4 linked regions of the Oreochromis niloticus genome follow. The protein of the gene in region 4 purifies or fractionates together with the protein of the main gene of each other region. This does not show direct contact. Links are inferred from orthologs where the notes say so. Each region holds a gene or a part of one and is shown on either strand. Other genes may lie near its edges.

What was found.
Region 1: the proteins of polr3h (region 4) and polr3d purify together in Homo sapiens (affinity purification with mass spectrometry; 6 studies listed by BioGRID and IntAct, counting the BioPlex papers as one, with this or other methods). This does not show direct contact. The link is inferred for Oreochromis niloticus from reciprocal best matches to the Homo sapiens genes POLR3H and POLR3D.
Region 2: the proteins of polr3h (region 4) and polr3f purify together in Homo sapiens (affinity purification with mass spectrometry; 4 studies listed by BioGRID and IntAct, with this or other methods). This does not show direct contact. The link is inferred for Oreochromis niloticus from reciprocal best matches to the Homo sapiens genes POLR3H and POLR3F.
Region 3: the proteins of polr3h (region 4) and polr3g purify together in Homo sapiens (affinity purification with mass spectrometry; 5 studies listed by BioGRID and IntAct, with this or other methods). This does not show direct contact. The link is inferred for Oreochromis niloticus from reciprocal best matches to the Homo sapiens genes POLR3H and POLR3G.

What each region holds. Positions count from the first base shown.
Region 1 is NC_031977.2:13,079,025-13,086,272, forward strand, and holds the start of polr3d (DNA-directed RNA polymerase III subunit RPC4), read left to right. Parts: upstream 1-4,236; 5' UTR 4,237-4,389; intron 4,390-5,384; 5' UTR 5,385-5,385; coding exon 5,386-5,547; intron 5,548-5,686; coding exon 5,687-5,730; intron 5,731-5,811; coding exon 5,812-5,966; intron 5,967-6,060; coding exon 6,061-6,185; intron 6,186-6,548; coding exon 6,549-6,708; intron 6,709-6,792; coding exon 6,793-7,040; intron 7,041-7,122; coding exon 7,123-7,248. UniProt on the Homo sapiens protein: DNA-dependent RNA polymerase catalyzes the transcription of DNA into RNA using the four ribonucleoside triphosphates as substrates.
Region 2 is NC_031971.2:41,853,419-41,860,410, reverse strand, and holds the start of polr3f (DNA-directed RNA polymerase III subunit RPC6), read right to left. Parts: upstream 3,022-6,992; 5' UTR 2,950-3,021; coding exon 2,774-2,949; intron 2,365-2,773; coding exon 2,247-2,364; intron 2,141-2,246; coding exon 2,073-2,140; intron 1,989-2,072; coding exon 1,921-1,988; intron 1,850-1,920; coding exon 1,737-1,849; intron 1,379-1,736; coding exon 1,235-1,378; intron 1,075-1,234; coding exon 967-1,074; intron 623-966; coding exon 431-622; intron 358-430; coding exon 280-357; 3' UTR 1-279. Other genes in the region: dzank1 (double zinc ribbon and ankyrin repeat-containing protein 1), read left to right, coding at 3,258-3,434, 4,903-4,957, 5,038-5,185, 5,268-5,334, 5,426-5,465, 5,722-5,914, 6,151-6,268, 6,347-6,670 and 2 more. UniProt on the Homo sapiens protein: DNA-dependent RNA polymerase catalyzes the transcription of DNA into RNA using the four ribonucleoside triphosphates as substrates.
Region 3 is NC_031977.2:14,419,721-14,426,714, reverse strand, and holds the start of polr3g (DNA-directed RNA polymerase III subunit RPC7), read right to left. Parts: upstream 3,005-6,994; 5' UTR 2,704-3,004; intron 2,526-2,703; 5' UTR 2,505-2,525; coding exon 2,394-2,504; intron 1,656-2,393; coding exon 1,526-1,655; intron 5-1,525; coding exon 1-4. Other genes in the region: acyl-coenzyme A thioesterase MBLAC2, read left to right, coding at 3,247-3,688, 4,924-5,138, 5,422-5,595. UniProt on the Homo sapiens protein: DNA-dependent RNA polymerase catalyzes the transcription of DNA into RNA using the four ribonucleoside triphosphates as substrates.
Region 4 is NC_031969.2:9,483,070-9,490,903, reverse strand, and holds the start of polr3h (DNA-directed RNA polymerase III subunit RPC8), read right to left. Parts: upstream 3,008-7,834; 5' UTR 2,820-3,007; coding exon 2,709-2,819; intron 2,565-2,708; coding exon 2,468-2,564; intron 1-2,467.

The sequences.
Region 1 (7,248 bases), on a different chromosome or scaffold from region 4:
GTGTGTCCACAGTGCTCCTGTTTATCCCAGCTTGCTTGCAGTTTTCATCAGTCTATTGTTACTGCAACAGTCTCCTCCACAGCTACAGTATATTTACTGATCTCTTGCAGTATTTTCAACACCAAAGCAGCATTTTGCATATTTCTCTTATTAGCCCTGGCACAGTGAGCACGTGGCAAATATGTGTTCAAAAATAACTCCCCCCGTTGTGGTCCCTGTGATCCTACAAATTGCCTGGTTTAGAGTCATTGTCTGATTGCCGGGTCTGCAAAGGTGCGCCCCACCCGTCAGTGTGATGGACAGGCTGCGGTAGCTCATTAAAGCCTGTGAACTGTGAAATTTGTGCGATGGCTCGTGCACACGGGCAACCGGGGCAGGGAGCCGCACCGTGCACGTGCAGGTCCACGCGTCTGTTTTCCAGCTGCTGTTCTCTTTTCTTGCCATAGTGTGCCTTTTTTTTCAGAGATAGAAACTGGGGCAACAGAAGATTCTCTCAGGACAAGTCATCAAAGCTCCCCGTGCGTCTACATATGCTCCACTTTTGGATGGCAGAGATGTGAACACAGTTCAAATTCAGGTTGCCATACCATTCACACAATTACATTTCTCTCACTTAGAAAAAAAAGCCGATTATCTCCACCACATTACCAGCTTTAACAGACAGCTGCTCCAAATAAGGCAATTTGGTCTAACTAATAATTATTATGAGTACACATCATAACTCATAATTCATCTAGAAGTGCATAATTAGGCTACAGTTCACATCTCTGGCTGAAGTACATAACACACACACAGATGTTGTGCTGTAATCATGCATATGGAGCAGGGCATAGAAAGCAGCTCTGTGGTTCAAAGCCACATTTCTTCTTCTTCTTCTTTGAGGAGAATACTTTAAAAGACATTTACATAGCTAGGCGAGAGGGGAGGGAAAAGGCGCAATCTTCTCGCTTTAGTTCTTAAACTGGGATGCTGAAAAGGCAGTCACCGGGTATGAAAATGGAAATATTATCTCTTCCTTAAAGTAGTTTGAAGCGATGCACAGTTGGCACTGACATTTAGGAGAATGACGCCCAATCTCTTTACACGAATCAGTCAGGGCTGCCGTGTGAAATGTCCTCGCAGTCACACGCAAAATGTCATTGGTGGGATTTAATAAATACCCAAAGTTGGCAGGGGGGGGAAGAGAATAAGAGAATAACAAGAGAATAACAATCTGCAAATAAAACTCCAGCATCTGCTGCATTCATCTGACTTCATGTCAAATATATTTGGAGAAAACACACACACACTCACTCACACCCAGGATAAGATCATTTGATGTCAACAACTTGTAAATAGACTCGTTTAATAAATTGATTCATTTTCTGGGACTCAGAATAATGTAACGTGAAGAATAATGTAAAAAAAAAAATTCCTTACTTGTATGAGGCTCAAATTTGAGATGGTAGAAGGTCGTCTTATTTCGCTTTCTACTTGCCTGCTATCGTGCAGCCGATGATAGATCCCCCAGGAAAACTGATTAGGAGGTGAAACGAACACACAGCCTCCTCTCTTCCTCTTTCTCCGTCTGTTTCTCTCTCTCTGTGTCACACAAACACTCTAACCCCCCCACCTCCCACTCCCTGCCTCCCTCTCTCCCCCCCTCCCAATCTCATTTTTCGCTCTGAGCGCTGCACGATGATAACTTGACTCCTCTGCACCCATAAAGGATAAATTAAAAGCTGAAATACAGAAAGAAGGGATAAAAAAAAAAGAAGATTTTTCCAGTTGCAGTGTGACCGCAGCGAGACACTCAGTGTACCTCGGCAGCATCGGAGCTTTCGCCAGCCAACCGTGCACAGCACATCACATCACTCGCTTGTAAATCTGCCCCGAAGCACAAAATCCAAATATACTCTAATCTGAACACTGAACTGCCGACATAAATGTCACCTCTCAGATATGGAGAAAGTCTGGGCTCTGGGAGTCTGAAGGTAGAAAGAATAACTGCTTTTTGCGCACTCAACTTGCCACACATTATTCTAAACAAATTACACTGTGAGTGGTGGCCCATAAAATTACACAGAGTCCTGTCAAGACCTCAAAAAACATACATGTGCCAACTGTCATGCCATATGGACCAACTCCACAGGGCATCTCCCTCTAGCCTATCCGGAGGCGGGGGATGCCACTATCTAAGTCCTGAGTAATCAGATTTCCACTTGCATTCATTTTCTGTGTGATGGGTTTTTTTTTTTTTGAGCCTGTTCGACCTCACTGGACAACTTAATTTAGGATTGCATCAGAGATTAAAGAGACCCTCCCCAGATTAACGCGTATAATCTGCTACTAAAACAATAGACATGAGTGTAGGCTAAAGAGAGATAACAAAGGGATGAATTTATAGTGCTAGTGAAATCCTTTCACTGTGTTTTATTTAAAAAAAAATGACAAAGATATAGTGCCTTAATTCCACACACTGTGTGGCGTATTGAAAAGCTTCATTTATTTCCAGACAGCCACTGATAAGTGATACCCCTAGAGTATAATTAAACTGCAATCATCCATCATTAGTCATGCCATGACAGCCTCTGTCCAAATAACCTTCCCTGCTTCAGAAATGGGAATAACCAGTTTTTTAGGAGAGCGGTAGGTGTGCGTGTAGAGAAAGCAGAATTTGGCCCCATGTTATGGTGTTCAGAATGTCTCTTATATTTCAATTATGCTTACAAATTGGCATATTTGAGTTGTGTTTTTAAAACAAATATTGTAAATTTATTCTAGTCTCATTCAAGTATTTGCCGAGAGGTCCTTCCCTTATCAAAGGGACCAGGCACTGTTCGACCGGGGGTACCAAAAATCTGTGGCACCCCTAGGAGGAATATACTATTACTACATTTACATAAGCGGATGCTCCCAGAATAATGTATTACACACATGTTCAGTCCACATACTGGGAGAATCTGTGTCCACCAAATTATGAACAAACTCCATAAAAAGTTTTATTAGCAACTTGGCATTTTCTCTGAATAGATGGATTATTCTCAGCACATAATAATACTAAGTGCAATTCTCTTTTTTCTGTCAACATAGTATTTTATTCTATTGCATATAGTATCTTATTCTTATTATCTTATCCTATTCCAGTGTTTTTCTTAATTTTTGCTACTGTAACTTTGCACTGTCGACTTTCTGCTGTGACACAACAAATTGCCCATGTGTGGGGCTAATAAAGCTTATCTTATCTTGTCTTATCTTATCTTATCTTATCTTATCTTATCTTACCTTATCTTACTTCTTCAGCCCTTCACTTGTCCAGTTTGCTCAATTTTTTTAAGGACACCATGTTAAGATATGCCAGATATGACCTTATACTTCTTTGGGAACCACTTTGCTGACTCCCAGTAATAGTATTTTATGTTTGTCAAACTGTGTTGCGTTTGGCATATTTTGTAGATTCAACAAAAGAAACAGGAACTAGTAACAAAGTACCTAAAGACACAATTTAAAATTTCATGCCAAATGAAACACGATTATTTGCTAACTGGTCTGTTATGTGTATACACAACAGTGGTTCAAGTGTTGTGGCTACAAATAACAGACAAACCGAAATGAAAATGAACCAGAAAGCAGCAGATCTCCAAAGAAAAGCTTTGAATCACCTTCAGAAAGCCCAGGGAACTGTTGCTCAAGACTACTTAAAAATTAGCAGAAAGTCTGACTTCTTGGAAACAAAATATAAAGAAATGAGGGGTGTGTCAAGACTTTTGCATGGACCAAATACCAAATTTTCAATTTGGTATAATTAGTTTGTCCTTTCCTGCTTCGTATTTCTCTCATCCTTCTCTGCATCTTCTATATTATACATTCTATATTATGTATTTACACAATTACAGGTCAGGAGAACCTTTTCACACCCTGCTGCCTAAAATGAAGTTCAATTAACTAGAACAGTATTATATTATGAGATTATTAAGGGATCCTAATAAATTTCAAAGTGTAATATAGTGATTAAGCTGTGTTTGACCTACTCACATCTGCGCATTGAAGCGAACAACGGCCTCTTCCGTTTACTTATGATTATGAGCATCGGTGAGTAGCTACTGCTGTGTTGCATAACAAAGCATATTTATATGTCGGTAAAATAACATTTTTCACATACATACATAAGTCGATCTAAATGTATTAATGTATGCCGGTCTATTGAGTTTCGTGGTGAACATGCGCATGTTTCTGCGCAGGTTTGATCCAAGTGAACTGAGTGGACGGTGACAAATGCGGAAGTGTCATGGCGCCGTGCTGCAGAATCATCAACACTGTCATGCAGTGTCCCACACAGCACTGGTAGAAACTGTAATGACTCTGGGGTTTTGGATTAATATTTCATAAGGACGTCAGAGGGACAATAACGTAAGTAGGCGAGAAAGCACAGCCTGTTAAAAGTTCATCCTGAGAGTTAAAACAAAGTGTCCTGTGTCGTTGTATTTCACTGGAATGTGGCCACGTGTTGCTGAGGTTGTCTTGTAAAATCATTTCTAAAAATAAAAATGTGTCTGCAGGATCTCTGTTTATAGTGATACAATAACTTGTCAGTAATTTATGTCACAGTGTTATAAGCGCTACTTTAGTAAAAACAAAAAAGTAGAAGCTCAGATTTACATTTTTGTCTGTGTTCAGATTAAAAGATAATGTATATTACAACGAAATTAATAAGTAAATACTACATGAATCAATCATGTCAACAGTATGTTCTGCGGTCTTATAGAGCAGGATGTGGTAGTAGAGTAAGAAATACTTAATATGTGTCTATATTCACCCTTTAAAATCTGAAGTCATATTTAAACATATAATACTATATAATATAAACATTTAATACTTTTTAACATTAAGTTTTTAATTAAAAAAATTTAAGAAAATTCTATTTCAGCTTTCATGCTGCATTGGGCCAATGGGGCAAGCTGTACCATTAAATAAAATCAGTAGCTAGTTTAATTCAAATACAGCAAAACTGTGGAGATTCTCACATGTCCTGTCCTTTAATCATAACAGAGAGAATAATTTAGTTAAATATATCTATATGTATCATTTTCAAGACCTATTCTACTTACCATTTCCAGTCTTCGTGGAAGTAGAGTTTAAAATGTGCTAAGAGGCATAAGTACCAATGTAAAAATGTTCATACATAAATAATCAATAGGCAGTAGCAGTAAGTAGCCTTGCAAGGCCAATTTGGCCATGTCTACATACTGTGATTGGTAGTCTGATACAGGACTGTAACCCTTGGCAATCGGCATGCTGACTGTTGAAATGTGTGTTATGTATAAATATGAGAATGTTATAAGAAACAATGTTAGTATTTGTAATATCCATCCCTTGGTCGATCCCCTGCTTTTGCCCCAATTCAGGATGTCGGACGCAGGTTCAGGCGACCCCAGTGGTCGTGTGCCGACTCCTGGAGGGAGCGGTAGCAAAGGACTCCTGATGAGCCGTCGCCCGTCAGCTGGCATCTCTCCTGGCCGCCTCCCCACGATGCGATCCAGAGACCTCACATTAGGAGGAGTGAAGAAGGTCTGATATGTCTCTGTTTCACTAACTCACTCGCTTCATTTAACAACAACAACAACAAAAAAAGCGCAAATGGAAACTTTAAATGAATACATTTGTTATCTCATCTCTTGCATTTATCGTTCTTCTTTTTACTCTTTAGAAAACATTTACACCCAACATTATTGGCCGAAAAGTTAAAGAAGAGTAAGTTCCCAAAGCGCTAAATAAATAAAGTACAGACATCCAAAGCCAGCTGTTTCTTTGACTGTTATTTTCTCACACTAGAACAAAAGTTGAAGATGGGCAGAGGAGAGAGAGGAAGGAAACGGATCGAGGTCGGGGTCCCAGAATGAGAGGCAGGGGCCGAGGCCATCAAGAACTCATCCAGTCGCACTCCATTTTTGAACAGGGACCCGGAGAGATGATGATGAAAAAGAGAGGTGGGAGACCCGGTGCTCCTTACGCATCGTTTACGTGTGTGTCTTACAGAGTCTCTATCGAACGAGCATAATTCTGTGTCACCCACACACACAGGCGGCTATGAAAGCGAGAGAGACGCTCCAAGCATGGGACCCTCGCCCATCATTAATATCAAAAAGGAAAAGCGAGAGACCGAGGAGGAGACCAAAGAGATCCTGCGCAAGCTGGAACGAGACAACGTGAGTCTCTTGGCTTTAACTCATCTTTGTTTGCGTAACTAAGTACGTACAATTTCATTTATATAGCACCTTTAGAATAAGACCTAAGGGACTTGCTGGGGTCATATAGCTGTAAAATGTTCACTGATGTAACCTGGTTCTAGTCCATGATGAGCTCTAAACGTCAGAACGACAATCTTGAAATGGGCTTTGAGTTGAGTGGGGAGCCGGTGCAGCTGGATCAACAACGGTTTAAATGTATTTAGAAGATTTAGTCAGAATCCTTTCTGCAGGTTTTTGAACAACCTGCAGATGTTCCATGGAGTTTTTGCTTAGACAAGTAAAGATTATATCTTTTTCCCAATGCTTATTGTGTTCTTTTAGTTTGTGGATGATCCCTTCCTGCGGAGTGAGAAGAGGAGCTGCCCTGTCCAGCTCCCCCTGGCTGTGTCAGGATGGGGATTCAAGGATGAATTTAGTGACGCTCCTATTAAAAATGAGAAGAAAGAGGAGGATTGTGAACCAATGGAGCCTGCAGCTGAAGGTAAATGTTTGTACCTGCGTTTGACTCAGAACTTGTTTAATTTCCTTTGCAGGATCATGAAATTAATCGTAAGTTTGTCTTCAGTGAAACAAGAGCCAGAGGAAATTGAAATAAAGAAGCCTGAGGCAACTTTCAGGCCGCCTCCTCTCCCCGAGCCCGAAGTACTCCCTGACCTGCTGCACAGATGGAGTCTGAGCAAAGCGGAGGAGCTTTTCTTCATTCAGCTACCAGACTCGCTGCCCGGCCAGCCTCCCACAAAAGAGCACAAGCCGGTGAAAACAGAGGTGCAGTCAGAGGATGGGCAGTCTGTGCTCCTGAAAACAGAATCAGAGGTAAGCATACAGCTGGGGTCCAAGTTTAAGTCCATGATGTTGTCGTGTTCTTCTGAGTAGGTGGTGTTTTTATACCAAACAGGAGGAGAAAGCTGAGGACAACAGCTGCAATCTGAAGGATCTACGGGAGGGTGTTGTGGGAAAGATGCTGGTACGCAAGTCTGGCCGAGTGCAGCTCATACTGGGGCAGGTGACGCTCGATGTGTCT
Region 2 (6,992 bases), on a different chromosome or scaffold from region 4:
ATGCGGTTGCACTACAGAGGGTGTGCAGGTGGGAGCGGGATTATACAGAAACATCTGAGACCATGTGACCATGATGGGACCAATAAGACGACCCCAAAGATTTACGATGTCAAACAGAAACATTAAAGCAGCCCCAGAAAACAAACGTTACGCCTCCAGAACCAGAACCGGGACAAACTGCTGCACGTCATCGTCACAGGAACTGAGGCCGCCGGGTTCTTCACGTCTGCGACAAACAGGAAGTGAAGCTTCCTTCAGAGAGAAACGCGTGCCGTGGCTTCAGAAGTCCAACCACTCGCTCATGTAGATGCAGGTGGATGGCGAGATCTCCCCGCCCTCATGGCAGTCGTCGAACACCTGCAAAGAGGAGACAGGATGAGTTCGGGTGCCCTGAGAGCGGCCCTGGGTGCAGGTGGGCACGGCGCGTTACCGGGCAGAGTCCGCAGGGCGTCTTGACGAGGCCGGTGGGCTGGATGATGGCGTTCACGCCGCGGTACAGCTTCATCTGCCCGTCCACACTGCCCACCGTGCCCTCCTTGGCGGCGATCACGGTCATCTCCACCTTTCCGTCGTAGATGAGCGTGTTCAGGATGGTCTCGATGTCATCCATGGACAGGTCCACCTGAGGGAAGCACACACACCAGATTCATACGCAGAGATAAATAGGTCCATGCTGTCGACCCTGCCCTTTCACCTCGTCTCACGGTCGCTTTCATTCACCTGACCAGGAAAGCAGATTGGCCAAAGATCAACTAAACCCCGCCTTAAACACCTGGACCTGGGTCCATAGCCTGAGTCCCGGGGACTGTTTACACGCAGGATGAGGTGTAAAGTCTACGCTCCCGCCTCCTCAGGTAACGCTCACCTGTCTGAGCACCTGAGCCCAGCTGCTTCTAATGTGTGTGTGTGGAGCTGTCTGCAGGTGAACGCTGTGCTGTGATTGGTGCGTCTGAGCTGTGATGTCACCTTGCTGATGCCCAGCTCACAGATGTACTTCCAGACTTCGTGCGACGTGGCGAAGGAGCTGTTTCTCTGAACCATCGGACTCTGCTTGCTGTCCCGCGCCGCCTCCGCCTCAACACAGGAAACACAGCGAGGGTCATATGACGGTTCACACAGCTCTGAGACATGAAAGAAGGCCGCCCCGCCCTACTCGCGCCTCAGAGTGCCGCTCTGCCTCCTCCTGCCGGGCACCGTTTGGACAATGAAACAGTTTAAATAAAGTTTTTTGTACCTTGCTCTGCAGGAACTTGAAGCACTGCTGGTTGAGAACCTCCACGAACTCGGACTCAAAGTCCTGGTCGCTGTACCAGGCGCCGCCCGTCACCGAGCGGTCGGGCTGCAGGTTGTACAGCATGTACACCTTCTTCTTCGACGCCTGCACAAACACGCCAGCGGAGAGGAAGTATGACATCATCACCGTCAGTGTTTGTTTACACGAAACACACGGAGACGGCGCATCTTTAATTTTTATTTACTTACATGTGTTTGTTTATTTCCAAACTGTTTTATAGTTTCTATATTTTTGCTGATTTACATATTTTACAGATGTTTGTCGTAAACATCTGGAAAATATATTTAATCAGAATTTAAACAGTTTCTTTTATCTTTGCACATTTTAAGCTGATTTTTCTGCAGATATTTAAATAAACATTGACTCTTTCAGCTGCTAATGTTATTGATTATTGATCAGCGATAAGGCTGATGAAGCCGATTATTGATCGTGAAAGACTCACAGCCACAGACTTCACGGCTTTGATGAGCTTCTTGCTCTCCAGGTTCTTCAGGATCTTGTTGATCTCAGTCAGAGGCAGGTTGCTCTTGAACCGGATGTCTCGGCTCCAGATTCCTGCAGAGAGAGACAGACGTAACGGCGAGCCACGGCAGCGAGCCAAACGGGGACAGGAAGTACTCAGTTACCTTTGTTTCCTGCGTCCTCGATGATCTGATAGACCAGCTTCTCCTGGTTGTCTGAGCCCTTCATCTTACTGAGACAGAACAGACAGGAAGCAGCTGAGACACCAGCAATCACCTGACAGGAAGTACACTCCTACACCTGTGTGTGTGTTTACCTGGTGCTCTGAGAGTCCTTCAGTCTGTACAGGAGACCTGCACTGTTCCTCAGCAGGTCCAGCTGACCCTGAAACAAACACCACCTCATCAACCTGCTGCCTGCTCAGCGCACAGAGTACAATAAAGCGCCATCCTCCTCACCCTCTGGAGGTGAGTGACATCATCAGACTGACCAGTGAGAGCAGCTTGTTGATGGCCATGGCTCTCTGCTGTGGCTCCAGGTGAGGCATGTCGTTCTGAATCACCTGGTCTGTGATACCGTGAGGGAACTGCTGACACAGCTCTTTGATCCTGAAACACACACACACACACACACACACACACACACACCAGATAAAATTCACAGTAAACCTGTTTCTCTGTTTAAACTCGGAGTTTTAATCGTTTTCTGCTCCTGCTGTGTCTCAGCTGCTCAGGCTGCACATGAAGACCAGCAGGCATAAACTTTAGCTCAGAGGAGCTTCGGCCGAAGGCGCCATTAAAGACCAGAACATGTCCAGATGTTGGTCAAGCGAAGCCAGCTGATGACACTGATTAACGCCGAAGTGACCAGCAGTCCGGCGCGATGTGAACGTGCGTTCATGACCTGCACGCAGGCGCTGTGTGCGCGAGCAGAACCGTACAGGCGATAATTGTGACAGTATTCGGCCGGAGTCCGATACGCGGACAGAGCGGCCCGCCGGCCCCGCTCCTCCCTCACCTGTTCTCGACCTCCGCGGGGTCCGACAGGTTCGTCTCCTTCTTCACCTTCACCTCAGCCATCTCCAGCGTTTCTTGCCTGCGCGGGGCTCTTACTTTGTTAGCCTGTGAGCTAATGTTGTGACTGACTGCGAGCACACGCTGGGGTCCTTCGGTGTCCCAAGCGACCGGAAGCATCCTGAAATCCGCCTGATTAAAATACACACCGCGGTCAGATCTCGACCTTTTGTTTGTGTTTAAGCATAGATACCCGGCCTCACTGTTTCACAGTATTTTTTTTTTTCTTTCTTTGGTTAATTTCATTTAAAAAATAAATTTCTTTGACTGGTCAGCGGCCTCTGGTCCTGTGACGATGACGTACAGCAGCTTGTCCCGGTGATTTATAAAATATATCATATATAGAAATATATGAATTTAAATTTTAAGGTCATTTTTCTCAACTCCTTCTTTTTGTGTTTTTAAATTCAATGTAAACTTTAAAGGGTATGTTTCTAACAGCGCAGCACGCAGAGGTGGGCGGGTACTACAACCCAATGGCAGCACCGCCCATCTCTGTCGTTCAGGCGTATAAAACAAGCGTCCCCGCGGACACAGCCCGTTGCTATGGTGACACTTCGGTAAACTCGGCAGCAGTCCCGTTGATCACCTGCGCCTTCATCCAGGTAAGAACACTGTCTCTGTTTGTTTTATTTACCGGCGTGTCCCGGCCATACGGCTCATCGAACCAGAACCGGCCCCATTCAAAAGCTCAGAAAAAAACAGTGAAAATAAGAGCAGCTTCAGTCAAACTAACAAAGAGACGGTAAAGACACGGGAACCTATCAGAGGCTTTGGTAAACCTTCAGGGAAACCCTCCCAGAAACCTAAGATGTCCCACTGGGGCACGCGGGGTGGAGACGAGTGTCAGGCCTGATGTGGATGCCCGTGAGACCCACTGTGATGTTTGGAGACGACAGATGAGAAGACAGACAGTCACTGGGAGCAGGGGCGGATCTAAAGACATGTTCGTAGGGTGGCATGGAAATCAGATGAGGTGGCAAAGTCACGGCCGTTTCTATACACAGGTGTTTCATTCTGTAATATGTGTTAAATAAGGTTAAATACATCAAATGCAGTAAGCATACATGTGAATATAAACGTAGTCTGTTTAATTGGCTTTAGATCAAATAATGAAACATCTCAGTTACTTCAAGCATATGAATTTAAATTTTAAGTGTTGTATAGTCTGTATGATAAATAAGTATGTAGCCCGATGAGGATAACATCCAGAAAGCTACACTACATGTGGTGGATGAGCTAGAACTTCACACTCTTTTTATGAATGATAGATAATTTTAACAAACAACATTTTCATAGAAAGAAAGAGTCGGGCAAGCATCCGCACCGTCTGCTGGTTTTAGCTCAGAGGATGGCGACCAGCCTCCAGGAAAGGCTGCAGCGTCTGGCAGTGGGTCAGCACTGGCTTTGTTCTTCCAAGTAAAGGTTCTGGATCAGGACCGTTCAGTGGGGGATTCACTCCAAAGCGGTTTGATTGATGTGGCCACACTGACCTGCTGAGAACTGCAGAGCCTGAAAGCAGCGGGAAAAAGCTCATCCACGCAGACGGTTTCTGACGGAGGTGTTTGCAAACCACCATAAAGCTACAGGAACATGAGCCATCACCTATGCGGCCCAGATACACATCGACATCCCCGCCCTCCTGTCGGACACTCTGGGAGTTCGTATCCATCAGGCTCCTGCCTCGTTTCGTGGACCGATGCTAGAGCGACCAACGCGTGCTGGTCGCCCAGCTTCTGTGTACAGAGGGTTCATTATCACACCTGTTGTTATGATATGAGGTTCTCTGCTCTCTGCAGCAGGCTGTCGGTTCTTTGGTTTGTTCTCTGTGCTGTGACACAGATTCAGCTCCATCCATTTTACAGATAACATGAGGTATGAGGTTACTCAGCAGAAGTAACTGAGTAAAAGTATGAATGTATGTTGGGACAAAGCCGGCGAGGACGTCTTACTGAGTCTGAAAGGGAACTGAACAACTGATTTATTGATTAACTGATTGGTTGGCAGACGGTTGTTGTCATGGCAGCGGGGGCAGTGTCAGCTCCACTCATCATTCCCATCATCCACCTGCAGACTCATCGAGCCAAGAACCACATCAAGACGAGCACACCTGTGTCCATCCAGTCAGGTAGAACTCCAACCGTCTGCTCATCCACCCAGCATCCATCCATCCATCCAGCAGGTCATGTGACAGGTGTGTCTGTGCAGACTCTGCAGGTGTTCTGATCTTTTACACTCTGGATGGTTCAAAGCCGGGGGCGGGGCATCGTGGAGCAGCAGGCAGCAGCAGGAAGTACAGCGAGCCCATCCTTCTGCCTGCAGGCCGGGTGACAATTCGAGCGGTGGCTGTCACCAGGTAAGTGGTCACCTGACATCAGTGTGTACCGGCAGCAGATGCTTTCACAGTGTAGATCAATAAAGTTTATGTTTGTCTGCAGTGACGGCAGAGAGAGCTCCATAGTGACGAAGGTTTTCTCTGTGGATCCTTTGGACAACTTCCTGCAGGTAATCGTGCAGCTGCCTGCTGCAGTTAACATTTCCCAGCTGCCCCTGCACAGACCTGATGATTCACAGAAATGCTTCTTTTACCTTCCAGCCTCCGCCAGAAGAAACATCCTCTCCTGCTGAGACCTCAGGTGTGTTCAGTTAAATTCAACTTTATTCATAATACAATACATTACAACAGGTACCTCAAGTCTTACCGTACTGACAGGTAAAGATGTACAACATTACAGAGAAAACTGACCAATCAGAGGATACTGTGTGGGCAGCACTCGGTGACAGTCGAAATGAAGAACTCGCTCTTAACCTTGGGGGGATGGGGTGTAAACCTGCTCTTTCTCTTCATCTGACCAATCACAGAGCTTCACACTTCCTGTTTCTTGTGTCCAGAGCCAAGGATGATGGGAAATCCCTCCCTTCAGTCAGGCCCTCGTTTTCTGTACGGTCGTCATGGCTCTGAGATCGGCGCCCAGCTCGTCTCATCTCACCGCTCCCAGCCTGCGGTTTTTAGGGGGTCAGGTGACCTGAGGCAGCTGAAGAGCACGGAGACGACAAGAGTGCAGCGAGACACCGACTTCCTGCGGTACGACCACACGGTACAGCCCTCCATCAGAGCCAAAAGTTTGTGGACAGCTCATCAAACAGAGCTGATGAACGTCCCAAGAAGAAGGAAAATGAGAAAAACATGTTCTTTTTTAAAAATAAATACATTTAGTTTGATTTCCACTCATTAAGACATTGCCCAGGTGTGCAGGTGCGTCCACATACTTTCGGCTTCACACTGTAAACCTGATGAACCAACAGTTTCTGTGCATTCAGGTGTGCTCGCTGTCTGCATCGCCGCCCCTCTGACCCGTTCGCTCAGTTCTGCGCTCAGTGTGGAGCGGCGCTTTCTCCGCTACCCAGTCACAGGCTGCCACCTGCTGAGGAAGGACAGGTACTGCATGCACTCACCTGAGCATTGCCACGTCCCGCTGAACACCTGACGATGAATCTGTGTGTGTGTGCGTGTCAGATGTTGCTGTGTGTGTTCTGTGGAGCTCTAGTTCCCGCCAACACACACACCTGTTTGGTGTGTGAAGCTGCCATCGATCAACAGCTGCAGCCACGAGCGGGCATCACTCTGCAGGTACACACACACACGCTCACACACACACACACACACACACGCTCACACACACACACACACACACACACACACATGCTCACACACACACACACACACACACACACTGGTGTTTACCTGTGCATGCAGGGTCATGTGATGTGTGTCTGCTGTGGAAGTGGGAATCCAGCTGACGCCTTCAGCTGTCTCACCTGCGAGAGCTGCTTGCAGCAGGTAAGCAGCTGCTGACCACACCTGTACAGCCTCACCCACAGACACTTTACGCTCTCTTTACTCCTCATGGCTTCAGGTGGGCGGAGCCAGGAGCAGTGTGCCCTCTGACCCAGGAGCGCACACCAGGATGTTGTCCTGCACCAGATGTAAACGTTTAAACTGGGGCGACGCAAGATTCTGCGACTGGTGCGGCTCCAAGGTGAATGCACATCTGACACCTAAAGCAGTGTAAAGTGAAGCATTGTGGGATTTGTAGTGATGCCGTGTGCTTTCAGCCCACCCACGCTGCCCGCTGTGTGACATGTCAGCGATGTGGAGCGAG
Region 3 (6,994 bases), on a different chromosome or scaffold from region 4:
ACTTCTGTTTTCAAGTAAACAAAAGAAAGGTCATACTCTTAAAAACATTTAGACTAGTATGCGTCAACACAAACTGCAGTGTTACTCTAGAAGTTTACATACAGTCAGTAGCATGAATGTCATGGTCATTTGGGGCTTTAATGATTTCTTTGAAATGATATTTTTATAGAGTGGAAGGACTGTACAGCATGCATCTTTAATGCCTTTAAAAAAAACAAAAAAATACAAGAATTTGTTACAGAAGCTTGGATTAATTTTGGCAGGTCTTGAAGGATGAAAGGACTGATAACACTAAATGCCGCCCACCCAGACGGACCGGACTTTTAAGCATAGTCCACAAATTTTCAATAAGATTGAGGCTGTGGTTTTGCAAAAGCCAGAATTTTAATGTTAGTCTGCTTTATCCAATCCAAAACCAATTTTGATGTGTATTTGGGAACACTGTCCTGTTTGAACACCCAATTGTGTCCAAAGTTTCAACCATCTAGCTGCAAATTTCAGTTGAAATTGAAGCTGTTGATTTTGGAGCAGGGTATTCTTTTGTGGTCGGCAAAAGAATTAAAACTCGCTTCAGCGGCTGGTCTTTGAGTAGTTTCGATTTCACGGTAGACTTGAGACCCGGTTGTTCTTCGGTTGTTCGTGAACATCCTAACCAATTTTCTCTCATCCGAGGGTAACAGTTCGGATCTTCTTCCAGAAAATTGAAAACTTGGAATGTGATATTGTTTAAAATAGCTCAAATAGACTTTCCCAAATTATGTAAATTATCAATTCTCCTTCTTGGATCTTCACAGAGTTCCTTCAACTCTCCCATTGTGCGTCAATCCAATGAGCCCTGTCAAACAAATCCTTCTTTTTTTCCTGTCAAAGACAGACTAGTTGTAATCAATGATGATCACTGATGAGAAGTTAATAGGCCTTGGCCTCATCAAGCTAAAAGACATTTAGTATTTGTTCTGCTCTACAGCCCATGAACCAGCTCTCTTTTTACTGCAGGTTTTGGATGGAGTACAATGTCTAACAGCTATCTAAGACAGCGGAGGTGGTGCTCAACCATGGGATGAGAGTCTTGCTGAAGAGGCTGTAGATATGAAGCAGCAGCTGCTTCTCTGTTTATCGGTCATGATGTGTGTATATTTGCTTCTGCACAGAAGAACTGGGTGCACTTCCTTTTCATAGGTAATTTCCCTATAGTCATGTTCACCACAGACCCCCTGCTGAATAAGCAATCCCCCCTTCCCCCTATAAAATACACTGACTTCTTTACATGGTTACATTTAGCTAACTGTGGAACAGGAGAGTTTTGAAAGGCCAGTAATCCAGACAAAAGAAATCTGTGGTTTCGCAAGATGAGACATCTGTAACTCAATATTCTGTCATTAATCTGCCTCTCTCCGTTTCCCAGATATGACCTTAACTGAAAGTCTTTGTTCCTAAAAGCTGCATTATCTTCCCCCACAGCAGACAACTGTCTTACAGCGTCATTTCAGCTGATGTCAGGTTTCTAATGCACCGCCTTCCTCACCTGCTTTATTGGACTGAGGTTTGATGTTGTATGGCAGCCGTTGCATTGTTCCCCTCATCTCTTGTTTTAAGGCCAGCATATAGTCCTCATCCTCGCCAGCTTTCAGTGGAACTGGTTTAAAATCCGTGCTCTGGAGAAGTATGGATGATGTAATGCCGATATTAATAATGTTCAAGTGCAAATAAATTTCAAATCTAACTGAAATTCAGACTGCCATGTAAAGGTGTTCAACATTTTAAGTATGAATAGTCAAAATATACTACATTGTAAGCATAGTCCAAACTGTGTTTAAAAGAAAAAAAAAATCCCCATAAAGCATCCTGGCAGAATCCAAGAGGCACGTAAATATCTGCCATATTCTTTGGGAATACACACGACCAAATTAGAAAACCTGGCCATGAATTTAACATAAGCGCATACATTATTGCCCTTTACCCCCTTTGTGCTTATTTGTGAACCCTGTGAGAGACACTCATTGGGTCATAACTCTTAAACACATGTTGGCCATGAGCACGATAAATATACTTTCATCTCCCTTCATTTAAATACAAATGCAGTAAAATGTTTCGTAAATTTTATTACAAAGAATAAACCTTAACCTATTATAAGTAAACCTCCACTGTATATAGTCTGCTATTCAAATTCCATGCAAATTTCACCTACCTCTCTCAAAAAGGTCTCTCCCAAAGTCGCTCCAGTAAAGTTTGACCATTAGAGGTGAATTTGTTATACTGAAATGCAATCTGTCATCCTGCTGGTGTGTGTGTGTGTGTGTGTGTGTGTGTGTGTGTGTGTGTGTGTGTGTGTGTGTGTGTGTGTGTGTGTGTGTGTGTGTGTGTGTGTGTAAACGACTGTGTTCGGTACTTACTGGAAACAGAGGACTGGGCCCCACCCTGGCTTCTGGCATGTTGCCCCTGCCGATGCCCAGAGCGTCAATATTGAAGGTAAAAGCACCAACTCCACGACCCTTGCCTGCCATGGCTGCAGGTCTCCTCTGTTCCTGCACACACACACACACACACACACACACACACACGTCCACATATCTCCAGTCAACACGTGTTGATGAAAGTTAACGTTCTACAGCTTCCATCGCCTTTAGCGTGACTCTGCCAGCGATGAAGCTTTAGTCAGCATCAGAGACGCACTCTACGTGTAAAGTATGTCGAAATACTTACTAGAAGCCTGTTAGTATACTGCGCCTAATGTAAAAAAGCACAAAGTCTACTTCAGAGCTGGACAGCGATATTTAGCTCTTACTGGATCCACATGTTTCAGTTTTTTAATGTACCTCTCTGGCCGGTTTTATCTGTCCCTCGACAACTCCTTAAAAATCACATACATTTCAGCTGAACCTAATGAAGATACTGCTTAGACTTTATACTGCTTAGCTAGCACCGGCTTTGGAAACCTGCACACGCCATACGCCACTGTCAGCATGCGTAAATGTGGCTTTAACTCGCTCCTCCTCTGCGTGACGACAGAGGAGGCGTGGTTTGCGTATAGCCAATTGCAACCCACGTTAAGCTGCCGTCGTTTATCGGTTTGCCCAGTGAGCTTAGTGTCCTCCTACAAGGGTGTGTCTGCGGCCACCATCGCATTAACCTCAATGAAAACATATCATCTGTAGCTAGAAGGCTAGTTACACCTCTCCCCCCCAATAAATCACCTGACAGCAAGACACCATACTGAACCCTACTTCGACAAGCGAATGAACTGGGATGTCTGCAGTCGACTGGTACGCTCACAAATCGCTCGGAGACGGAATCTTCTGGATCCAGGAGCGATTCTACCAGTCGGAGAACCGAGCCAACATCTGGTTGCTGCGCGGCACACACCAGGACGTGGTGATAGACACGGGTCTGGGCTTAAGGAGCTTACCTGAATACATCGACGCCAAAGGCCTGCTGGGAAAAGACCCGCAGAGGAAAAACCCGCTGCTTGCCATCGCCACCCACGCCCACTTCGACCACTCCGGTGGTCTGCATCAGTTCCAACAGGTGGGCGTCCACAGCGCGGAGGTCGATGCCCTGGCCAACGGAGACAACTTCGAGACGGTCACTTGGCTCAGCGACAGGGAGATAGCCGAGGCTCCCAGCCCGGGATGGAGGGCAAGGCACTACAAAGTCAAGGCTGTGCAGCCCACACACATACTGCAGGAGGGTAGGTAGGAAATACAGCCCTTGCAGATTTGATTTAGGCTAGAGGGATGGATCTGTGCTCAAATACCAGCAAGGTCTAAAAGCATTCACTTAGTGACAAGCACCATAATCGATACAGTAATGGGCTTGATGGATGCACCAGGCCTAGTGTGAGCACAGTATGCTCTACAGAGTCGTTTCCAGCCTCAGATTCTGCACCGCGATTTGGCAGAAGACCAACAATGACTTGCTAGCTCACACATCGACACATATTATATATGTAATGGAGGTAGTGGGGATGAGACAAGGGGTCGGTCTGCCAGTAATTTTTACAGTTACAAAGTAGGCTAGAGGAACCAGTTCAATGCAGCAACATGAGGCCAGGACTGGTGATTACACAGGTGCAATTATCCCATTACACAAAACAGGATATTCTATCCAAGGAATGCAGGTACAGACAATTTCCCCCTATTAGAAGTGTATGGGTTAAAAAAACAACAACAAAAACTCCATTGGTAGCAACTATATGCTCATTCTCTATATCTGCAGAGCTGTTCTATTTTAAGCCAGTGTGATGGCTTTGATGTATTCTCTTGCTTCCAAGAAAGAGCATACAGAGACTGGTGTCACACTTAATGAAAGCATCCCACAGCGCGAAGTAACAACCACACAGTCTTCTCTTTTCTCAAACAATTTTTTATAGTGGGTCAAAGATCAGCAGGTGGCGAGCTGAATCAATCTACTTGATAAATCTGAAAGTGGATACGTTGTTTGAAAGCACTGGTCACTGGAGTCTTTATATAAAGCACACATTCATCAGAATAGCACACATAATAATACACAAAGCTTATATCATAAATAATGTATTTGCTGAGCCGCCGTATCTGTTGGGGTTTAATGCAAAATGCAGTGTTGTAGAGTAACTCGTTCTGCTGTGTCAGAGCCACTACTGCAGTGCAGCTGGTATATCTCATTCCCTGATGTATCAACTTCACCCTTTTTGCCAGTGCAACTCATAACTGGCGTCGACCAAATCGATGATATACTGAATGTCACAGAATCTGTGTGACTCAGTGACATGTGGAAAGCACAAACATAACTCTGACGTGAGTCAGCCAGAATATGAGTTATCACTTATATATAAGTCTAAGATTTTAAATACATAGTGGCCGGTGATTACGGTTCATGCCACGTTTGTATGTGTGAATAATTATCAAAACCTAATGCCTTCACTCTCTCTCTCTTTCTCCTGCCTAGGTGATGTCATCAATCTTGGTGACAGACAGCTGACTGTGCTTCACATGCCCGGACACTCTCGGGGAAGCATTTGCCTTCATGACCGGGACAATAAGTTGCTTTTCAGTGGCGATGTTGTGTATGACGGCGCAATGATTGACTGGCTGCCCTACAGCCGCGTCAGTGACTACATCAGCAGCTGTGAGCGCCTGGTTGGGCTGGTGGACAGCGAACAGGTAACTCTAAAGCCCACTAGAGAGCAGCCTCACAATTTCAGTACACAGTTCCACTTTTTTTTTCCAGGGGTATTTATCCCAAAGCACCTTATATCAACATTTCATAGATTTATAATGAAAATATCATGTTGCTCTGCTGAAATTTGGCATACCAGTATCTATTAGCCTACATATACAAGCTGTGTTTTCTGTGCTAATACTTAAAACAATATACTTTAACATGTGCTAAACATTATTTGTTAAATAAAATACATGTTTATTGGCTTTAAAATGGATTTAACAGGTCGACCAAGTCCTCCCGGGGCACTACAATGCATTCGGTGCGAAGCGGCTCCATCGGCTTGCCTCCACGTACATCAGCAGAGCTGAAACATGCCCTGCAAAGTTCTCCACGTTTGCCTGGAGGAGTCTGGCTGGGGTGGCGCTGCGGGTGTGCAACCCACAGTGTGCCTGCTAATGAGAGTGGGTCATTGAGCTGCAGGAAGCAAGTGCACAAAGAGAGATGTTTTAGTATGGAGGACATGGAAGAGTGTGAGGACAGAAAGGGTGGGGGCGGGGTTACCTCTGTTTTATCTGCAACTTAATGTAACGCTGTCCATTTACTTATGTAATCCAGCTGAAAATCAAGTAATTGCCAAACTTTGTGTGAAATGCCCCTACTGGGTTACAGAAGTCAATAATCAGCACCATATGAAGCCTATTATAAAAAATATTTACTGGTCTTATATGCTGATGAATATGTATATGTTGGTGTTAATATAATTCAGTGTTTGATTTTTATACTTTAAGCATATGTGAAGTTACAATAGCACAACAATAGCATAACTCTGCACTACAAACAGAACAGGGCGCTTTGGGTTTTCCTCTGAGACATTTGAAACAAAGTCATTATGGCCATAGTGTTCTCTATGCATATTACAATGCTCAGTGAAGACTCAGTGTCGACTACCTCCTATGTTTGTAATTGTGCTTTGTACTATTGACTAATCTACAGCTTTGCTATCGAAACATAGACAATAAAAAGTCTCTGTTCTACCTGCTTTTTGAGTCTTTTGCAGCACAGATTGCAGCAGCTTATAAGTGGATTTGCTTCTCCAGGGGGGAACTCAAATGGGATTTGTTGCAAGAGAGAGAAAAAGGGGCAGAACAGAGGTGGATGGAATATGATCCAACACCTGTTCAAAGGATAGAGAACTTAAAGTCATTTTCTAATCTGATGGAAACCTCTCTCAATGCATGGAAAGGGTTTAATTTGGGGGGCTTTTAGTTTGAAAAGTTAAGAAAAGTAGGATGATTTAACCTTCTAACAGAAATATCAGATTTTATTTTTAAGTTCAATGCATTACTAAAGAATTTCACCATAAAAATGTACACATAAAAATATGTATAGAACATGTTAATTTGGATACATAAGAAAAGAAGACGATTTTTAATTGATAAAACATTTATTTAATGTTATATTATTTCAACACGAGATTTCCACATTTCTCGTTTTCAGTTCACCTCCGAGGATGGCATACATGCAGAACACGAAGCCTGCCAACACGGGAAACTCCGCCAAGGTTATAACATTCAATGTTATCTGTGACAGTTAAAAGATCTGCACGTTATCTAATATTATGATCATCAAATATCAACACAGCTGCATTTATAACAAATTCAGTAATGTAACAAAAAAAACCCAAAAACAAATACAGGAGGTTTATTTGTTAACTTATAAAAATTAATTTACAGTAACAAATGCTGTCGTTCAGCGTACAACAGATCTTAGTAAAAATGGTTCGAGTTCTGAGTCCCCAAGAGGGCAACGGCTTCCAGAGTCCACAATAAACACGGAAACGGGGAAAAAAAGAGGC
Region 4 (7,834 bases):
GCTTCTGAAGCGTGATCATCGAACAATCAAGCGTTTCATTCAAAATAGTCAACAGGGTCGCAAGAAGCGTGTGGAAAAACCAAGGCGCAAAATAACTGCCCATGAACTGACAAAAGTCAAGCGTGCAGCTGCCAAGATGCCACTTGCCACCAGTTTGGCCATATTTCAGAGCTGCAACATCACTGGAGTGCCCAAAAGCACAAGGTGTGCAATACTCAGAGACATGGCCAAGGTAAGAAAGGCTGAAAGACGACCACCACTGAACAAGACACACAAGCTGAAACGTCAAGACTGGGCCAAGAAATATCTCAAGACTGATTTTTCTAAGGTTTTATGGACTGATGAAATGAGAGTGAGTCTTGATGGGCCAGATGGATGGGCCCGTGGCTGGATTGGTAAAGGGCAGAGAGCTCCAGTCTGACTCAGATGCCAGCAAGGTGGAGGTGGAGTACTGGTTTGGGCTGGTATCATCAAAGATGAGCTTGTGGGGCCTTTTCGAGTTGAGGATGGAGTCAAGCTCAACTCCCAGTCCTACTGCCAGTTTCTGGAAGACACCTTCTTCAAGCAGTGGTACAGGAAGAAGTCTGCATCCTTCAAGAAAAACATGATTTTCATGCAGGACAATGCTCCATCACACGCGTCCAAGTACTCCACAGCGTGGCTGGCAAGAAAGGGTATAAAAGAAGAAAAACTAATGACATGGCCTCCTTGTTCACCTGATCTGAACCCCATTGAGAACCTGTGGTCCATCATCAAATGTGAGATTTACAAGGAGGTGTTATGGCCCTGGGCCTTGGAGGGAGTGAGACTGCCTTTTTGTGTTCATGCAAATCCATGTGTGCCATGACTTGTGGGTGATTGGTTACTGGGAGACCCGTGCCAACCCTCTTTTATGCAGAATGAAGTGTGCCAGACCACACGGATGATTGGCTGCCCGGGGATCCCGTGATGCTCCAAGAGGCAATCAGTGACTGATCGTACCCACCTGTGGCTACAAAAGGCTGGAGGTCCTTCACTCAGTGGCTGCTGTTTAGGACTGAACATGCAGTTTGCCCTTCGTGCCTCCCTCTTCAATCTTTGTTGAACTTGTTCATATTGCTGAACTTTGTCAAACCTTGGTGCATGCTTGAACTTAGCCAGAGTAGAGCTTTGAGCTGCTAGCTGGCTGTGAGTAGAATTTTGTGATGCTGGCTCACCTTAGTTAACCCTTAGCTTTTATTTTGTGTGTTGCCAGCTTGCCTTAGTTAACCTTTAGCTTTTACTCTTGTCTTTTTTTGTCTTTATATAATAATTGTTTGCCCAGTGGTCTGTTGAACAGCCCTGTCAGTTTTCTGTTTACAGTTTGGAATGAAAACCTTTCTTTACTCAGTTTTGTGTTGGGGGCGTGTGTATGTTACTCCTCCCCTGATGCCTAGCAGAGGAGGTTGTAACAGGGGGGAAAACAGTACACCTCTCTGAACAGTGTCTGGGAGGCTGTGGTTGCTGCTGCACGCAATGTTGATGGTGAACAGATCAAAACACTGAGAGAATCCATGGATGGCAGGCTTTTGAGTGTCCTTGCAAAGAAAGGTGGCTATATTGGTCGCTGATTTGTTTTTGTTTTGTTTTTGAATGTCAGAAATGTATATTTGTGAATGTGGAGATGTTATATTGGTTTCACTGGTAAAAATAAATAATTGAAATGGGTATATATTTGTTTTTTGTTAAGTTGCCTAATAATTATGCACAGTAATAGTCACCTGCACACACAGATATCCCCCTAAAATAGCTAAAACTACTTCCAAAAACATTCAGCTTTGATATTAATGAGTTTTTTGGGTTCATTGAGAACATGGTTGTTGTTCAATAATAAAATTATTCCTCAAAAATACAACTTGCCTAATAATTCTGCACTCCCTGTATTTTCACGGTTGTTGTGGTCGTGACAATTTTGTGAGGCCACATCGAAAAGGCTCAGATGAGCTTGCCAAAGTTCTACATGTTGTGCCTCCATCGCTTGTGTCCAGATCACACGCTGCACTGCCGTGCTGCTCTGTCTTTTCACTTTCATTTGTGTTTGTGCGTGCAGTGTGGGAGGCTGCGTTGACACCCTCATGACGGCCGACAGGATTTCAAACAGGTTTGATTTTCTTACGACCAAACAATTGATGATCGGGAGCTGGTCGTGAGGTGTTAATCGCTTCTCGTTACCCCATGTATACTACACGATGCGTGACACACGATTAAGGCGAAACTCGGGCCGATCCCCAAAACGGTCGCACAACTAAAAAATCGGCTCAAAATGGGCCAAAAATTGCACAGTGTATGCCCAGCATAAGGAGGAGGAGTCACCACTCACCATCTGCCTTGTTTGTGCATTAACAGTAGAAAAAGGGTTTTGCTTTAATGTCTGAGGTATTACAAGCAGTATTAACTTTAACTCAACTACACCAAAGCTGTCTCAGCTATTTGATGGTGATCGTCATACCTTTGGTGTGTGAGGCTCCGTCTCCTGGGAATATATAGGAGTCCTCGAGTTTTGTGATGTCGTACAAGCAGATGCAGAGTCCCACGTTATAGACCACCTATTGTAAGCACAGCACTACACAATTTAACACACAAACTTCTGCTAAAAGGACAATATATGTTCAGTATTTTAGCTGCTGAACTGTTAGTGTGTTTTGTGTGGTGAAAATTGATCCTAAGTGTGCTAGAACGGTCTCCATCACCTTGTTGGCCAGCTTCTTGTTCAGTTCCTCCGCCACAGCCTCGTTGAGTTGCCGGTGAAAATTCCACGGCGGAATCCGCACCGTGTCGACCATTTCCACCAGCACGAACATGATGACCGGACACTGGTCACCTACCCACTAATTACCATACGTTCTTATAATATTAAAAGCAATAAAAAATATTAAGTAATGATCAGAAAGTAGTATCCACGTTTCTTGTTTGTTTGTTTTGCGGCATGCCGTAAAACAGCTGTCGCAATTCTAGACGACTACGGCAGGTTTCTGGTGCCACCTAGTGGCTGTAACGCTGCAATTGCTAACAAATACCGCAAACCATGGACTCGTTAGTGTAACGTACCACGGCCTGCCACGACATGCCAGAAACTGCCAATTGCTTGGAGGTTCTGGTACTTCATACACCCGGCTGTGTAGTCCAGAAGGGTCAAGTCAAGTCAGAAAAGCTGGTCTGTTGAGTGCATTCAGAGCCTCTTAATTACTCACTTTTGAAAAATGGACCTTCAAACTGGGTTGAGCTTATAGTGCATGTCCCTCCTGTATTCTGGTCTTTGTTGAAAATAATAGTCTCTGTTTTTAAAACATTTTCCATCTAAATGTTTTAAATCATGCTATTATGATTAGTGGATAAATCTATTGCGTGAGTGATTGACTATTGTGTTATAAATATACTTTTACTGTCAGACTAGAATACTGAACACCATCATTATCCAGGCTAAACAAGCAAAAAGTATTAAAGGGATGTTTAGGTTATTTATTTCAGTAAGTGAGGTACAGAAACTGCAGGATATTCTGGCCACAACAGATGTTAAAGGGAATAATGAGCAGCCTTCATCATCAGCATCATGGTGCTTGCATCAATCTGCTGCCCAGGATAAATGGGAGAAAGCAAGGCCCTATCATCCGATCTGGCTGTTGTCTTCCAACGTGGTTCCAGAGAGGAACAGCAGCTACTGAATGAGAAATGACAGTCCATCGTTACTTTCAGAACTGAAGGTCAGTCAGTCCAGAAAATTGCTAAACCTCTGAGTATGTCCCCAAGTGCGATCGCAAAAACCATCAAGCGCTACGACGAAACTGGCTCACATGAGGACTGTTTCAGGAAAGGAAGCCCAAGAGTCATCAGCCTCAGAAAACACAAGTTAACAGCAGAACAACAACAACAGAGTTCCAGCAGCTGACACATCTCTACATCAACTGTTCAAAGGGGAGTGTGAATCAGGACTTTATAGTCAAATAGCTGCTAAGAAACCACTACTAAGGAAACGCAACAAGCAGATTTGTTTGGACCAAGAAGCACAAGGAATGGACATTAGACAAAGTAATCAAAGCAAAGGGTGGCTATTTTAAAGAATCTAAAATATAAAACATGTTTTGAGTTATTTCACACTTTTGTTGTTTACTACATAATTCCATATGTGTTCATTCATAGTTTTGATGCCTTCAATAAGAATCTACAATGTAAATAGTCATGAAAATAAATGAGAAGGTGTGTCCAAACTTTTAACTGGTAGTGTATATAAAAATTTTAATAACAATGTATTTATGTACATGTGTACCATATTTTGTTTATAGGTCGGTATGACAGACAAGTATATATATCTATATATATATAGATATATATAGATATGTATATATGTACGTATATATATATGTATGTATATACTTGCTTCCTGAACAGACTGAACTTGCTAATATTTACATATTAATAATTAATAATATTAATGTGGTCGCACTAAACTAGCGACCCTGTGTTACATGTTTTAACATGACTGCACTGTAAGTGGCTGATAGCTGCTGTCATATGCTGATTGTCCATGTGTACGCTCGAACATGGGCAAGTCTGGTATTTATATTTGACATCACAGCAAATAGGAGATTCGAGTCTGGCATTGATATTTGACATCACAGCAGGAAGGTGATGCGAGTCTGGCATTGATATTTGACATCACAGCAGAGAGGCGATTCTGGTGTTGATATTTGACATCACAGCAGGGAGGTGAGGCGAGTCTGGCATTGATATTTGACATCAGAGCAGAGAGGCGATTCTGGCACTGATATTTGACATCACAGCAGGAAGGTGATGCGAGTCTGGCATTGATATTTGACATCACAGCAGAGAGGCGATTCTGGTGTTGATATCTGACATCACAGCAGGAAGGCGATGCGAGTCTGGCATTGATATTTGACATCAGAGCAGAGAGGCGATTCTGGTGTTGATATTTGACATCGCAGCAGGGAGGCGGATCTGGCATTGCCATTTGACATCACATTATAGAGAGGCGAGTCTGGCACTGATATTTGACATCACAGTATAGAGAGGCGAGTCTGGCATTGATATTTGACATCACAGCAGAGAGGCAATTCTGGCTGCCATGGTTACGGGTTGTTGCCATGGCTGTTGCCATGGTTACGCGTTGTGGTTGCCATGGTTGTTGCCATAGTTACGGGTTGTTGCCATGGTTACGGGTTGTTGGCATTGTGGTTGCCATGGTTACGGGTTGTTGCCATGGTTACGGGTTGTTGCCATTGTTGTTGCCATGGTTACGGGTTGTTGCCATGGTTACGCATTGTCAGCGTTGTGGTTGCCATGGTTACGGGTTGTGGTTGCCATGGTTACGGGTTGTTGCCATGGTTATTGCCATGGTTAAGGGTTGTTACCTTGGTTGTTGCCATGGTTACGGGTTGTTGCCATGGTTGTTGCCATGGTTACGGGTTGTTGCCATGGTAGTTGCCATGGTTACGGGCTGTTGCCATGGTTACGGGTTGTTGCCATGGTTACGGGTTGTGGTTGCCATGGTTACGGGTTGTTGCCATGGTTGTGTGTTGTTGGCATTGTGGTTGCCAACAACCACAATGCATGCAATGTGATGTCAAATATCAATGCCAGACTTGCATCACCTACCTGCTGTGATGTCAAATATCAATGCCAGACTCGCCTCTCTGCTGTGATGTCAAATATCAATGCCAGACTCGCCTCTCTGCTGTGATGTCAAATGTCAATGCCAGACTCGCATCACCTTCCTGCTGTGATGTCACATATCAACAGCAGAATTGCCTCTCTGCTCTGATGTCAAATGTCAATGCCAGACTCGCATCACCTTCCTGCTGTGATGTCACATATCAACAGCAGAATCGCCTCTCTGCTGTGATGTCAAATGTCAATGCCAGACTCGCATCACCTTCCTGCTGTGATGTCACATATCAACAGCAGAATTGCCTCTCTGCTGTGATGTCAAATGTCAATGCCAGACTCGCATCACCTTCCTGCTGTGATGTCACATATCAACAGCAGAATTGCTGGGTTGTGGTTGCCATGGTTACGGGTTGTTGCCATGGTCACGGGTTGTTGCCATGGTTGTTGCCATGGTTACGGGTTGTTGCTATGGTTGTGCGTTGTTGGCATTGTGGTTGCCATGGTTACGGGTTGTTACCATGGTTGTTGCCATGGTTACGGGTTGTTGCCATGGTAGTTGCCATGGTTACGGGTTGTTGCCATGGTTACGGGTTGTTGCCATGGTTGTGTGTTGTTGGCATTGTGGTTGCCAACAACCACAATGCATGCAATGTGATGTCAAATATCAATGCCAGACTTGCATCACCTACCTGCTGTGATGTCAAATATCAATGCCAGACTTGCATCACCTACCTGCTGTGATGTCAAATATCAACAGCAGAATTGCCTCTCTGCTCTGATGTCAAATGTCAATGCCAGACTCGCTTCACCTACCTGCTGTGATGTCAAATATCAACACCAGAATCGCCTCTCTGCTCTGATGTCAAATGTCAATGCCGGACTCGCCTCTCTGCTGTGATGTCAAATGTCAATGCCAGACTCGCCTCTCTGCTGTGATGTCAAATATCAATGCCAGACTTGCATCACCTACCTGCTGTGATGTCAAATATCAATGCCAGACTTGCATCACCTACCTGCTGTGATGTCAAATATCAATGCCAGACTCGCCTCTCTGCTGTGATGTCAAATGTCAATGCCAGACTCGCATCACCTTCCTGCTGTGATGTCACATATCAACAGCAGAATTGCCTCTCTGCTGTGATGTCAAATGTCAATGCCAGACTCGCATCACTTTCCTGCTGTGATGTCACATATCAACAGCAGAATTGCCTCTCTGCTCTGATGTCAAATGTCAATGCCAGACTCGCATCACCTTCCTGCTGTGATGTCACATATCAACAGCAGAATTGCCTCTCTGCTCTGATGTCAAATGTCAATGCCAGACTCGCATCACCTTCCTGCTGTGATGTCACATATCAACAGCAGATTTGCTGGGTTGTGGTTGCCATGGTTACGGGTTGTTGCCATGGTTACGGTTTGTTGCCATGGTAGTTGCCATGGTTACGGGTTGTTGCCATGGTTACGGGTTGTGGTTGCCATGGTTACGGGTTGTTGCCATGGTTACGGGTTGTTGCCATGGTTGTGTGTTGTTGGCATTGTGGTTGCCAACAACCACAATGCATGCAATGTGATGTCAAATATCAATGCCAGACTTGCATCACCTACCTGCTGTGATGTCAAATATCAATGCCAGACTTGCATCACCTACCTGCTGTGATGTCAAATATCAACAGCAGAATTGCCTCTCTGCTCTGATGTCAAATGTCAATGCCAGACTCGCTTCACCTACCTGCTGTGATGTCAAATATCAACACCAGAATCGCCTCTCTGCTCTGATGTCAAATGTCAATGCCAGACTCGCATCACCTTCCTGCTGTGATGTCACATATCAACAGCAGAATCGCCTGTCTGCTGTGATGTCAAATGTCAATGCCAGACTCGCATCACCTTCCTGCTGTGATGTCACATATCAACAGCAGAATTGCCTCTCTGCTCTGATGTCAAATGTCAATGCCAAACTCGCATCACCTTCCTGCTGTGATGTCACATATCAACAGCAGAATCACCTCTCTGCTGTGATGTCAAATGTCAATGCCAGACTCGCATCACCTTCCTGCTGTGATGTCACATATCAACAGCAGAATTGCTGGGTTGTGGTTGCCATGGTTACGGGTTGTTGCCATGGTTACGGGTTGTTGCCATGGTTGTTGCCATGGTAGTTGCCATGGTTACGGGTTGTTGCCATGGTTACGGG